Linked DNA regions of Notamacropus eugenii. Each later gene encodes a partner of the first gene's protein in a complex. Links are inferred from orthologs where the notes say so. Each region holds a gene or a part of one and is shown in the gene's direction. Other genes may lie near its edges.

Region 1 (7,131 bases):
ATTTGATAGAAAGCTACCCTATACCTAGGAGTAGAGAGACTGGTCATATTGTTTTGTGTACAGAATGGTTCCAGAGACTGGCAATGATCCTGCAAAGCAATCCACTGTAACCATTTATCACCAGTAGGTGAGTTATTTGGATTTTCTGAAAGGCAGACAAAAAGTGTTGGACATTCATTTCAGTGGATGATACACGGAAGAAATAACTTTCTAGTCATAAAGACTCAAAGATCCAGAAACTCATTTCAAGTAAAGAATATTCTACAAAATCCCATTCAAATGATAGAAAAGGTTTAAACTCAGAGGCAATAGCTTTCCTATCTAGCACTCTAACTGTAGAGACTGCTCTGGTTTCTACATGTCCTGACAGAATGTAGTAACCCAGGTAGCCAGGCTGGACCAGTTGAGATTTAGGAGAGCAGGACTATAGTCATGATGAGGATTTATGATTCAACCACGCAATCAATATAGCCCAAGGAAAGAAACAGATGTTGTTCTTCCTTCATTTTGAAGAGGATGTCTTGACTTGGATGTGAATTAAAATGAGGCAGAATTGTGCAAAGTCATCAGCCTCTCTCTTCCAGATTCATTAGAAATCCAGCGGCAGGACAGAAGTCAAGATGACTGGCAATGGTCTGGTTTGCTGTGGATGATGTTGGCATTCCACATCGCCTGCATCAGCTGTCTTCATGGTTGTTGGAACAAATTGTTCTCATTTGCCCATTCTACCAGGGGAAGTCTTCACATACTTGGGGTAGACATCTCCCTCACTCACTGACCAGTCTGAAGCCTGTCGGGTACCCTTGACCTGGTTTAGCCCATCTGCCAAGATGGTATTATGGGGCTCTGGCTGTTGCTCCTGCTACAGCTTTTTGGAACTACAAGTGAGAGTTGGGTGAATCAGATGGACACCGAAGGTAGATAAGCAGCCCTGAAAAGTCCTGAAAAGGTGTTAGTCTAGGGATAGGAGCAGTTAGTTCAGTAGAAGAGCTACAACTCTCTGACCAATGAGCATGCTAACTAAGATGTATCAGGTGAAAGATGTTAAATGGATACAACATATATAGCCAGGTGATGATAATGTTTATGCATATAATATGTACTTTGTATGTAATTTCATTCTAAATTCATTGATGCATATCATTTACAGCATGTATTACGTTATTTTTCTTGTGTTTATTTATTCATATATATCAGGCATTTATTGTAGTTGCATTTGCCTAACTATTCAGCTTTACTGTACGTTTAGTTATGTTTCTTTTTCTTCAAATCTTATTTGTAGACCCACCAATGTCATTTCTCCTTTGATTTTGGTATTTGAATATTGGCTTGTGTCCCATGGATACCCATGTATTGCTGTGATACTGCATATACTATGTTCTACGTGTAATTTAAACCTGTAGTCAATAAAGTAGCTTGTCAAGTGATGTTTTGCGTTTTTGAGCTACGTCTATCGGGTGTATCGTTGGTGTGTATTTGTTGTTAATAACTGGGATGCTACTTTCATCATCCTTTGCTCTCTCCAGTGCTGCTATTTTATCTGATGGTCGGCTGCTGTGTACATCCAGAGGCCATGTACCCCAGCTGATTCTTGAAAGGGACTGCAAAATTCTAAACCCTGGGAAGAATGCAGCCATTTCGTCAGTCTTCCGGGTAAAAAGTCTGAAATCCAACTGGAGTTCGAGAAAAAGAAAGCGGACCTCTTCAGTTCCGAGTCGGAAGATTTTACCGTCACAGTGGGGACGTTCCCCTGAACTCCCAAACTTAACTAACTGGAAGCCGAGGGACTTACGGGAGCCTGGATCCCCAAGTCGGAACACCGCCGGACTCACCAGGGCTCCGGGTCCGGCGGCCCTCCCGTCGCCCCCCAGGCAGCCCTCGGCTCCGGACCTCGTCTGCAGCTGAACCAAGTTCAGTTCCGAGCGACAGACACTGCCCAGCTCTTTAGCTCACCCCGGAACCCTGGAGACCAACTAGTAAAAATCGGGCTGGCATCCAGAGTTTCACAAAAAAGGGAAAAATAACAAAGATACTCTATGTACATATGTCAATCAGGTGCGGAACACACAAGTAACTGATTACTGCTGCGCACCAGACTCAAGATGCACGGACCGACCAGAACTCCGCGTAACTACAAACGTCAATTACCCGTCTGGTAAGTTTCCTTACGCCCCACCCCCCACCGCAGCTAACAAAGGTAACGTAGAGTAATTAACCCCACGTGGGCAGATTAGGAAACAGTCAGGCCTAACCGTCAACCGTCGGGACTTGAACCGAGGACCTGCCGGCTCCCAGACGCCGACGTTCCCTCGGCGCCACATCGGCTCCCGTCTCAGGCTTCCGTCTGTCTAGCTCCAGCCTTGTCCAAGGAATTTCCCTACCAGCACATCAGCCTCATGCTAGCACCCCACTTAAGACGTGCAGGCGCGCCCGGACTGGGGGTCACCCTTCAGCACCCCTCGCTCTCGTCTCTCTCACTACACTCCCAGAAGGCGATGGATGTCATCACAGCCATTCTATATCTTTGCTAAAAACGTCTCTGCCTCCCATTCAATCTAACCTCTAACTAATCACAGCCCTGCCGCCCCCTCCAAAAAACGAATAAAAACGAACAAGAGCAGGCGGACCCAGAAGTGAAAGGGCTAGCGGGACGGAGACTCGAGCAGTTCTCCCCCGGGCTGTGCCCTCTACACCCCGAAAATCCAGGTGCTGAGCCTTTTTTTCCCAACCGGAACCTACTCTGTATGAATTAGGTTGGAGCCTCCCTTTTCTTGGGCAAGGGAAAAAAAAATAAAAAAAAAAAAAAAAAGCAGCGGCCGTCACGAACAGGATTCGAACCTGTGCGGGGAAACCCCATTGGATTTCGAGTCCAACGCCTTAACCACTCGGCCACCGTGACTCCCGGGCTGAGCTTTTGCCGCGCGCTTATAGGAAGGGTCGCAGCAGCGTGGAAAAGGCTGCGGGCCGACAGACAAATTTCTCCCTCTAATTCTCGGTGCAGATGCCCCTTCACCCCCTCTCTCCGTGGCTCCTCACCGAAGTTTGGGAGAGAAGGCTCGGAATCCCCCCAGGAAAGGGCGGGGCCGGGATCAGCTCGGAGAGAGGGGGCAATGGTGTGCAGGGGCTGGAGCCCCCGAGGGGGCTTCCGGGAGAAGGGAGAATGGCTTTCTCTTCACGGGGGGCCCGACCCCTCCCACTCCTCTGTCACCTTCGACGATCTCCCCTGCCCCCCAAAGACCTCCCTCAATCACCGCCCCCGTCCCTTATTTCCGGGTCATTCTCTCCTCTCCCAGTCCCTCATTGACCCCTCTATCATCACCCCCCTTCCCTCACTGACACCCCCATTACTCCTCCAGCCTTTACTGATCCCCTCCGTCACTCCTTCCGTACTACACCGATCCCCCCAGTCACTCCCCTTGTCATCCCGCCTCAATCCGCTGTCATTCCTCCCGCCCTCCAGTGACCCCCGCTGTGACTCCCCCGCCCTTCACTGAACTGTCAGGCTCCCCTCCCCTGACAACCCCCCCATGAGTGCCCCCTCACTGACCCCCCCGGTCAGTCCCCCTCCCCACACTGACCCCCCACTACTCCCCCCTCCCCGCACTGACCCCCCCGTCAGTCCCCCTCCCCGCACTGACCCCCCCACTACTCCCCCCTCCCCGCACTGACCCCCCACTACTCCCCCCTCCCCGCACTGACCCCCCACTACTCCCCCCTCCCCGCACTGACCCCCCCACTACTCCCCCCTCCCCGCACTGACCCCCCCGTCAGTCCCCCTCCCCGCACTGACCCCCCACTACTCCCCCCTCCCCGCACTGACCCCCCCACTACTCCCCCCTCCCCGCACTGACCCCCCCATCGCTCCCCTCTCCCCTCACTGGCCCCCCCCCCCAGTCAGTCCTCCTCCCCTCACTGACCCCCCCCCGTCACTCCCCCTTCCCTCCCGCGGGCCTTCACCACTCTGGCCGGGCCCGGCAGGGGGCGCTGCGTTGGGCCCAGGCGGCTGCGGGCGGCGGGCGGAGGAGGAGGCGAGGCGAGGGAGCGGGGCGGGCGGTGGCGGCGACGGTGGCGGCGGCGGCGGCAGCTGGGGGGGGGAGCCAGGAGAAGATGGCGGTGCGGAAGAAGGATGGCGGCCCCAACGTGAAGTACTACGAGGCCGCAGACACCGTGACCCAGTTTGATAACGTGAGGCTGTGGCTCGGCAAGAACTACAAGAAGGTACGGGCCTGAGCACAGCGCGCCGGGCCGGGCCGGGCCGGGCCGGGGCCCCGGGCGCCACAAAGGGCGCCGCTTGGACCCCCCCCGCCGCTGCCGCCCCCTTCCGTGGGGTCCCCGCGATCCCCACATGCTGCGGGCCACCCTCGAGCAGTCGGGCCGGGCCCCGGCCGCCTCTGCCCGCTGTCCCCTCCCCCGCTGTCTTCCTCCTCCTGCCCCCTTCCCCACTGTGCCCTCTCCCGATACCCCGTCCCTTCCCTGCCCCGCCGCTCCCCAGGCCCCCCTCCCCCCCGCGACCTTTACCCCCTCCCCGCTGTCCCCCCCTTACTCCTCACGTTCTCCCCCCATGTGTTCTTCTATTTGTTTGATTGCCTCCCCTTCCCCCGGTCACCCCCCCATCCAATGTCCCTGGTTCCATGAGTCTCCCGTCACCACCATCCACTGAGATCACACATGCAAAGCGCTTTGCGAACCATGAAGCGCTATGAAAATAGTAGTAATACCATCATCTTCCTCTTTGTGGTTCATTTGAAAATTCTCAAGAAGGGCAGGAGCCAGCCAGGGAGAGGGAGGAGGAAGAAGCCGACTGGGTACTCCCCCGGGCCAGCCCCGGTGCCCAAGGGCTGGGGGTGGGGGCGGGAGTTGAGGCCTCCCCGAGGCTTTGTGTGTGTAGAGTATTGGGAGAAGGGAATGAGGAAAAGCAGCGGGGCAGACACCCACCGGGAAGGCCTCCCTCCTGCTCTTGGCCTGGGGAGGATCTCCGTGCTCTTACCTGTCTAGCCTGCCTCCATCCGAGGGGAGGCCAGAGGACAGGGGATGGTGGGTCTCAAACAGTGTCTCAGCATTTACAGTGAAGTCCCCACTTTGGGCCTCCCTTGACTTGAGGTCCCAGTGTGGAGCCCAGTCCCAACCTTTTTACCCAAGACTGGGGGGGTAAGGGAGTGAACAAAAGGTCTGTGGAACGTGATCCCCCCCTTCTACGGGCCTTTCCTGGTTATGTCCTTTGTCTGGAAGGCTGATAAAAGGGCAGCATCCACCTATGTTGTGTTCTCTCCCCATAATCAGATTCTCCGGGAAGAATCTGCTCCTTTTCACTCTTCCCCACTCTTTCTTACAAGGAGGAAGACAAGTTTTGTATCTTTTTTCCTTCTTGGTTTTCTGGCTTTCAGATTCTCCCTACCCATCCTTGTTTCCTGTTGGAGGTTGTAAGTGGTGGTACTGTTGGGAGAGCTCTGGTCTGTGAAGCCCCTTTCCTCAGGTTCCAGATACATTTGGATACAAGCTAACCTTGTTCTCTGGGGTCTCTCCAGGTGTCAGAATCCTGACAGTCAGCTGCTCCATCTGTTGCTTGTCTGTACTCAGCATGGGGCTCTGATTTCCAGGCAGTTACTAGCTCTGACCTTTGGGAGGGAGAATAAACTGGGGGCTTAGTAAGTGGATTCTGGGATGAATTGATTGCCCGTGATCTGGTGTGGCTTTTATACTCCTGGGCTTTTGTCATTTACTTTTCCCTCCTGTGACCTCTCCTTTCCCAGAAGCTATTTTCCCTGCCTCCCTCTGAGAGGGATGTTGTCCTCTGTGATTGGGGTGGAGGAAACTGGGGTCAAAGGGTTAAAAGAAATCCTAGAGGTTCAGTTTAACATGAATTCTTGGAGAGAAGTATTATATGGGGATGTCTGGAAAAAGTCCAGAATTGTTTTGAACAGCCTACAGCGATCAGGGTACCTGCCTTCTTACCAGGGCTTGTATCCAGCCTAGTTTATTCAGGGATAGTAGAGCTTTTTGCCTGCCATTTCTCTATTAGGCAGCATGTGAGTACGGTCTTCCTTATGTTATTATTATCTTCTAGAGGATCTATTATAAACCAAAGGCCCCTCCACAAATATCCTGTAGCAGTTCTATTTGGCCTGTCTTTCTTAATGACCAATTTGCCAAGATTTTCTTCTCTCCCTCTCCCCCAAAAATGTTCCCACAAGTTAGTGGACAACCTTATTCTGTTCAGTGAGTCCTGAAGAGCCTCCTTCTCTCCCATCACCTCCACATAGGCTGGATTCCATAAAGCCTGAGGCTTTTATGACCCAGAGTACTGTTGTGGCATCAAGATAAGAGGGTCCTGGCAGCTCACATTACAGAGTGAAGCTCAAGAAAGAGAAGGAAATTCTTCCCTCTTGGGCACTCAGTACTAAACTGCTTCAGTTATTTGCTGGCAGAAGAATTTTTACCTCCTGGAGCTCTTTCTGCTGCCCTTAGAACTAGGTGAAGGTGCCTCTTGTCTGCCTTCTTTTCACACATAGTTTCTAGCCGTTGTCTGAGGAGAGAGGCTTCTAGAATGTCTCCACTTGACCTTACTACCTTTCTAGGGGCCTTTCTCTCAAGCTTGGGGCTTGTGGGAGATATAATGGGAGTCTTCATTATTCCCTTTCTCCCTCTCCTCCTAGTACATCCAAGCTGAGCCACCCACCAACAAGTCCTTATCTAGCCTAGTGGTACAGTTGCTACAGTTCCAGGAGGAGGTATTTGGCAAACATGTGAGCAACGCACCACTTACCAAGCTTCCGGTGAGTCTACAGGGCCAAGGCAGGTGGGTATCCCAACAACCTGGGGAAGGACCTAGACTATTTAAGTACTGTATCTCTCCTTCCCCAGCCAACCTTAGAGTATTGCTGGCTTAGCCCAGTGAGGCTGTCTCCAGATATTACCAGATCTGTCACTTTACCCCCTAGGCTACTCTACCCCTGTCTAGGGATTTGTCAGAAGGATAAAATAGTTGAAGAAATGCCCTCAGCTTAGGAGCAGATATTATTGCTGTACTTTGCTTTCTGAAGTGAAATGATAAGGGGGGAGGGAGTAGGTCGCTTTTACCACTCCCTCTTCAGCTGCTGCTTCCACATGCCACTTCTGGTTTTGCAGATCAAA
Region 2 (6,995 bases), about 140 Mb from region 1:
TGACACAGCCAAGGCAGTCATAACCCATTGATTGAGAGATCTTCCTGGACTACTCTGGCAGTAGCAGTCCAATATCAGGGTATCTTGTTGGCCATGTCCAGCGCTACCTGCCCAGCAGGAGAGTAGCCTTCCTGGCCCAGTCTAGCAATATCCCAGTGGCTGAGTAGTCTGTCTGGTCCATTCCAGTAACATCCAAGTCCAGTGAAGAGCCACTTCAGTAGCTGAGTGAACTGTTTGATCCAGCTTAGCAACATATTGACCCCTTTCCTATGAGGAGCAAGACCAATTGAGCTGTATATCTAACTGAGCTACCTTGCTTTTCGAAAAGCCAGTCCAGTTAACCCGCTAAGCAGGGAAGGAGCTTATCCATCACCAACTTAACACTCAGCAGTGACCTTCTTAAGAGCCCTTTATAGAAAGGAAATAGATCAAAACTTTACAAAGTTGTGAGTTGTCTTAGTCATGTGTTTCTTACATACATACCTCATTACCACTGCATTTTAAGTTTTCAGCCATTATTCTCTCCCCACCTTGTCATAGACTCTGTTTATATCTGTGGGAGAATAGGCCCCATGTTTCCCAGGGGAAATGTTTAGTAACTTCTGTTCTTGCTATACCGTTTGAGTAAATGCCTTTAATGAGAACTGAGTCTTATGGCTTATTAATGGGAAGCACTCTGGTGGGGGCTTGAGAGTTATGGTGTTACAGTTTAAGAATAGTCACCCAAAACACTACCCCTAGAACTATGACAAGAGTAGCAGCCACTCTTTGGGGATCTAAACTGCCAGTGCCTGTGTGGACTAGGGGAATGAACCTGGAAGGGGATATTATGTCATACATCCTCTTTAGAAAATATACCCAAAGCACTAAAAGTATTTCTCTGATGCTTTTAATATTTCCTGCATAGCAGTGCAGCAGTGCAGCAATGAAGCTGGTCATCTGTTATCCCTTGATTTTACTCTATAACCAGCCCTTTTCTGGTCACATATATCTTCAACTAAATTATTTTATATATCTCTCCTGTGCAAGACATAATTACTAATGTGCCAAGCTTCAGTTCACAATATTTAGATACTCAAAATGTGGCTGTGTTATTTATTCCTACCTCTTCTTTCTTTTGTGGCTTAACATAGCCTTGGAGAATTTCTGGCAAATGAAGATGTGGCATTTCTGGGCCTCAGTTTCCTTACCTGTGAAATGAGGAGTTGAACTAGCTCTAACTCTATGCTTTCATGCTCATTTGAAAGGAATGGGTTTTTTTTTAACATGGATATGGTAAAGAGATAAAATGCTCTTTACTTACCAGTTTAATAAGGACTATAGATACAGAAAGGTAGATTGCATCTCTATATAAGAAGTCATTTCCTAATTAGAGCTGTTTGAAAGTAGAATGGACTGCTGTGTGATGTAATGAACTCTGTTAATGAATGTGTTAAAGCAGGAGCAGAAGGACCTTCTGTTAGAAATGTTGTAGAGAGGAGTCACACCTTGAGTGGAAAGTTGAACTAAGTAAACTCTAAGGTCATTAGTATGCTGGTAGTATATCTAATCCAAGTCGATTGACAAACATTAATCATCTGCTATGCGCCAGGCACAGTGAGTACTGATCCAAGGAGAACAGGATAATTCCTGGCACAAAATAAGAGATTCTGTACGAGGAAGGAGGCAATTCGGATCAGATAACTTCTGACACGTATTCCAATTCTTAGATTCTATGATGCTATGTATTGAAAATATCTCATTCTAAGAATGTAATGAAAGGACCTTGAAGAAAACCCTTACAAATGCCTGGTTGGATAAGGTCACTGTGGCACACCTGGGAAATTCGTCCAATCTGTTAACCTGAGCAGGGTAGGCTAGATTAAGGGGAGCCCAGCCTGTGGATGTAAATGAGCTTAATTCCTAGACCAAGGAGATAGGCAACCTTTGGTAACAGGAACAGGAAACGGTAGGGTCACACCCCATTCCAGGGAAGGGAAGACTAGGTTGAGAACCTTAGAACCAGGCAGGTTTAGGTCAGGATGGAGAGTCATTTTCCTTCAGGCAACTGATGAAATGAAAATGATGAAGGAAAATTAAAAGGTAGTTTATCGGATGGACAAGAACTCAAGGCAAGAGTCAGCCAAGAGACTCTGGGAGTTCTCTAGTATGAATTGAACCAAGCCCTCTCAGAGTTCAAAAAAAACAATTTATTTCCTTGCATTTGTATTTTTTTTTAACAGTTTACAAATCACTTTCACATGCATTCTTCTCTGATCTTCATAACAACTTAGTAAGGTATTACAGTATCAGAGAATGTTTGAAGAGGACTTAGAATGTGCCTGCTCTTACTGTAAATTTTTATTCTTGTCCCCATTTTACAGATGAGGCAACTGTAGCTTCAAGAGATTCAGTGATTTACCCAAGATCCTATGGCCAAGAGCCAAGGACTCCAACTCGTCATTTGCTGTTTCTATTTGTATAGGGAGAGAAGTAGGGCAAAGATTTAGAAACAATTTTGTAACTAAGGAACAGATAAAGCTGTTTCATTCTAATTGCAGTAGATTCCCCTCCTCCCCCTTTGTTTCTTTTAATAAGCGCCTTTAAAAATCATCACTGTTTATGGGTGGTCTGTGTGTGGTCTCCCAAGGACACTGGAAAATGGAAAAGTCTGTAGGCATCGCACATTTAGGAGAGAAGAAAATGAGACAGCCCAGCTTCAGAAAAGGAGAAGGGTACCCTTCTCAGGACAAAAAGGGCAGTAGTTGTAAAAATTCTCACTGTGCTCCTGCTGAAGGTAGGAGGCCATGCAATTCTGGGTCAGAGAACCAGAAACAACTTTGCAATTAGAAGGAAGGGAGAGAAGATGGAGCTGATAGCAGCTGTTGGTGCAATTTACAGTTGTGCCACATGCCTGTCTGCATGGGGTCCTCACCAGCACTGGCTACCCAGTTTACTCTTTAACTCCCCTAGGAGATGGGTACCTAGCACAAGAATTATTTCCCCCATTTTGTAGAGGAGGAAACAAGCTTGGAGAGGTGATTGACTTGCATGGAATCAAGTGCTTTGAAAATCTCTACGCTCTCGATTCATAGAAAATTAGAATTGGAAAGTTACCTCCAGAGATCATCTGGACAACCTCTTGTCTGTAGAAATGTAAGAGTAGCCATTCCATAGAGCATGATAGGTGGCCAGGGCTCAGGCTTATGTGCTCCTTAGGACAGCTACTGTCACATAGGCAAGGAAACCGAGGCACAGAAAAGAGAAATGAATTACTTAATACAGTTTCCTGCCGGCAGCTCCATCATTGTGGGATGCCGCCTTCACCTCCTACTCATAAGGTCAGCCCCATTCCCAGCTGTCTGGGGCCCTGTCTTCTTCGTAGATGGGTTCCTGAAATAATATAATCCACTAAATAATTTCAGGATGCCCAGGTCAGCTCACTGACCCCACAGAGACCTGGCTTCTTTTGGTTGATAAGTCAACACAGACACCAGGCCCAGGAGGTGGACGGGGGTGATTAGACCCTTGCTAGAATCCCAACCCTAAAGTCCTGCCCCAAAGGTGGACTTTCCTTCCTCCAGACGTATTTCTAAATGACGAACTGCGGGTGACTTGGGGGCTGTAAATCCGCCAGTGTGCATGCCCGTGTCAGAGTGGGTCTATGTCTAGGTGGGTGTTGGTCTGGGGGCTGACCCCTGTGTGACTGTCTGCAAATGGACATGTGTGGATCAGTGCGAGCGTGCATCAAAATGGACTTGGGCAGGGGCTCCTGAAGATCGCGCGGTGCCCCATGCATTGGGAGGAACGAGATGGGGGGGCTCCCCTCCGCAGCTCACCGCTCCCTGCTCCGATCCCTAACTCGCCGCACGCTCCACGCTCTTTTCAGACGCTCCCTGCGCCTCCCCCGCTCCGGGGTTGCAGCGGCGCAGGCGCCCGGGCTGGCCGAGCCCGAGCCCAAGCACCAAGCCGGGGAGAGGGGCCGGGGCCAGAGCGCGGGGCTGGGAGTCCCGGGGCCAGAACCGGAGCAGCTCCGGGAGCAGGTGAGCCACCTGGGCGGCCCGGGCCCTGCAGCCCCCCTGCTTGGCAGCCCCCACTCCCAACTGGCGTCTCCCCTGCCTCCCCTCTCTGCCTGTCACCCTCCCTCCCCTCCCCCCGGCATTTCCCCCCGCCTTTCCCGACCTGGCATCTCCTCATCTCCCCCTTCCCTCCCGGACTGGCATCGCCTTCCCTTCTGGCATCACCCCCTCCCCTTCCTGCCTGCATCTACCCCTCCCCTCCCGGACTGGCATCTCCCTCCTGGCACAGCCCCTCCCCTCCTTGCCTGGCATCTTCTCATCTCCCTCTCTCCTCCCAGACTGGTATCTCCCTCCTGGCACATACGCACCCCTGGCATCTCCTCCTTCATTCTTCCACCCCTGTATCATTCTCCCCCAATTTGCATCCCCTTAGCCCCTCTTCATGGCATCCTTCTTGTCCTGAACGGGGCATCCTCTTCCTTTCTGACACACTCCACCCCCACTTGACATCTCTCTCCCCCCATTCTCCTCCTCCCCCTCAGTCTTGAAAAGGCTCCTTTCCCTATTGAAAATACCTCTCTTTTTCCTTTTACAGCTTGGGCACACTCCCAACATTCTCTTTCTCTGGTATACCTTATCTTTGACCCCTTAAGCCCTTTCCTATTTGCCCATTCTGTTCACTCCCCACCTAATATATCCCCCTCAACACCCTAGCTTCTTAACATCACCTAGCCTGTTCTTTCTGTCTGTCTGTCTGTCGGTCTCCCTGTCTCTCTCTGTCTCTCTCTGTCTCTCTCTCTGTCTCTGTCTGTCTGTCTCTCTCTCACACACATACACACAGACACAGACACACACACGAGCATACACATATATCCTACCCATCCACAGGTATTCTTCCCCTGATAACACCCCTCTGCTTGCCTTCCCTACCTGTCATGACTACTCCATGATCTAGAATGTCCATATAGACACACCTCTGGCACTGACTCCTATGCCTGACCCCCTCTATAGAGCATCCTCTCCTCTTACACTCAGCCATGAAGATTAGCCTAGGACCCCAGAAGCAAGCCTGTTAGACTATTGAGAATTTCACTTAAAAAATAGATAGATTCTTAGAATTTAGAAGCTAGAAAGTATCTTAGAAACCATTTAGTTCAACCCCTTCATGTTAGAGATAAGAGACTGAAGCCAGAATTACTTCTCTAACGTCACAAAGGTCTTAACAGTTAAAATCGTACCGCAGGTCCTCTTTTCACTACCCCATATTGTTTATTTTCCACCAGGGCAAGGCTAACTCCTTAAGACTGCGGCTTTTTTTGTCACCAGATGTGAATGTAAACCTGAGATGCAAAGTAGGGGAGGGAGGGTAAGGGCAAGAAGTAGCATTTAATCTGTCCAGGTGTGACTGGGAAGATTGTGGAGATCTGTCTCCAAAGAGCCAAGCTGGAAGCTATGACCAACTTTCACTGTGGTTATGTGGACAGTGAGCTTAACAGGGGACTTTCAAGACTGAGAAATTAGCGTCTTATAAACCTGGCTTCTTTCAGTAGGACTGTCCCCGGTACTGCCCTTCTCCTCTGCTCCATCACCACTAAGCTACCTGTACAGATTGAGGCTTAGATTTACAGATTCCCCCCTGACCTGGCCCCATCAATTTCCCCTGCACTGGTTCTGCCCCGCCCCCTCTTTGCACTGCTTCTTTCTCCATCCTTCCTGCACTGGCCCTGCCTCTGCCTCTTGCTCCCTCCCCCCCCTCCCCACCCCGCTCTATGTCTAAGTCCCTCCTGCACAGCAGCCTCTGTTCCCATCCTCCCTGCATTGGCTCCTTCCCTCCCTTCCACTTCCTTTGCTTCTGTTCTCCCTTTACTGGCTCTTCCCCCCTCCCCTCCTCCCCCTCTACACTGCCTCTGCCTTTGTCCACCTCTTGGACTGCCTCTGTCCCTAGTTCTGCACCTCCCCCCCAACCCTGTACTCCCTTTGGCCCTGCCTGTCTTCACCCTGTCCCTCACTGGCTCTGCCCCGGGCTTTCCTGCACTGGCCTGGCCTCTCTGTCTGACCCTGTCCTTTCTGTGCTGTCCCCTTTACCTTGATTGATTTACCTGACTCCATCCTCCCTGCACAGGCCCCGATTCTGCATCTCTCCCCCCTCCCCCCGTACCCTGTACTTAGGATGCCTCTTACCCCATTCCCCTTCATGTCCCTCCTGCAGACCTTGTCTGTCTCTCCCTGCCTCTGTACTTGCTCTGTCTCCTTGCTCTCTCCTCATTCGTCACCTTCCCCCACTGCCCCTGACTCTTCCTCTGCCTCAGTGTCTCCTGTTCTGGCTCTGCCTCCATCCCCCATGAATTGTCTCAGCTTCTGCCTCCGTCCCCCTTACAATGGCTCCATCTCCCTTTCAGTGCTTCTACCTCTGTCCTCTCCTTTCATGACCCTTCTCTTACCCGCTGTGGGGGCACAGCCTCCAAAATTCCGGTAGTATCTACCTCTTGGGGCTTTGGTGATGCTCTGCATGGATGTAGATTTGTATGAGATTAGTTATTATTAACATGATCATTGTTGTCATTATCATTCCAGTACTGCCTATCTTCAACAACGGAACCTTACATGCCTCTTAAGCATGTGAATGCCCCAGTGCCCAATTCAGCCCCTGTGTTTGTCCTGCCAAGACTTAAGCTAATATCAGTTTTGGAACCTTGTGCTTCTTGGATATTATTCCAACTTGTGACCTTTTATTGTGATGCCTACTCCCCCTCGGGCACCTCTGGCCTGCCTGCTGCCTTAGACTGACACCAGGAGTCATTACCCCTGTCTGCCAGCCCCATTCCCTGCTTCCTTTTCTTGCCGTCCTTTCTTCTCTCTGTGACCTGCTTCCTTCCCTCTCTCATATCCTACTTTTTACTCTTCTTCCCCCTGTCCATCTCCATTCATTGACCTTAGCTATGTTTCAGCCTACACTACAGAAAACAACTGTTGTTTGGCAAAAAGAGTACTGGATTT

What was found. Proteins that work in one complex are often made in the same cells at the same time.
Region 2: SMARCC2 (region 1) and SMARCD3 share a complex: the UniProt entries of both Homo sapiens proteins name them as parts of the BAF complex. The link is inferred for Notamacropus eugenii from reciprocal best matches to the Homo sapiens genes SMARCC2 and SMARCD3.

Annotation. Positions count from the first base shown.
Region 1 is NC_092874.1:231,452,459-231,459,589, reverse strand, and holds the start of SMARCC2 (SWI/SNF complex subunit SMARCC2), read left to right. Parts: upstream 1-4,068; 5' UTR 4,069-4,107; coding exon 4,108-4,218; intron 4,219-6,653; coding exon 6,654-6,773; intron 6,774-7,125; coding exon 7,126-7,131. UniProt on the Homo sapiens protein: Involved in transcriptional activation and repression of select genes by chromatin remodeling (alteration of DNA-nucleosome topology).
Region 2 is NC_092874.1:94,747,150-94,754,144, forward strand, and holds the start of SMARCD3 (SWI/SNF-related matrix-associated actin-dependent regulator of chromatin subfamily D member 3), read left to right. Parts: upstream 1-3,923; 5' UTR 3,924-4,022; intron 4,023-6,995. UniProt on the Homo sapiens protein: Involved in transcriptional activation and repression of select genes by chromatin remodeling (alteration of DNA-nucleosome topology).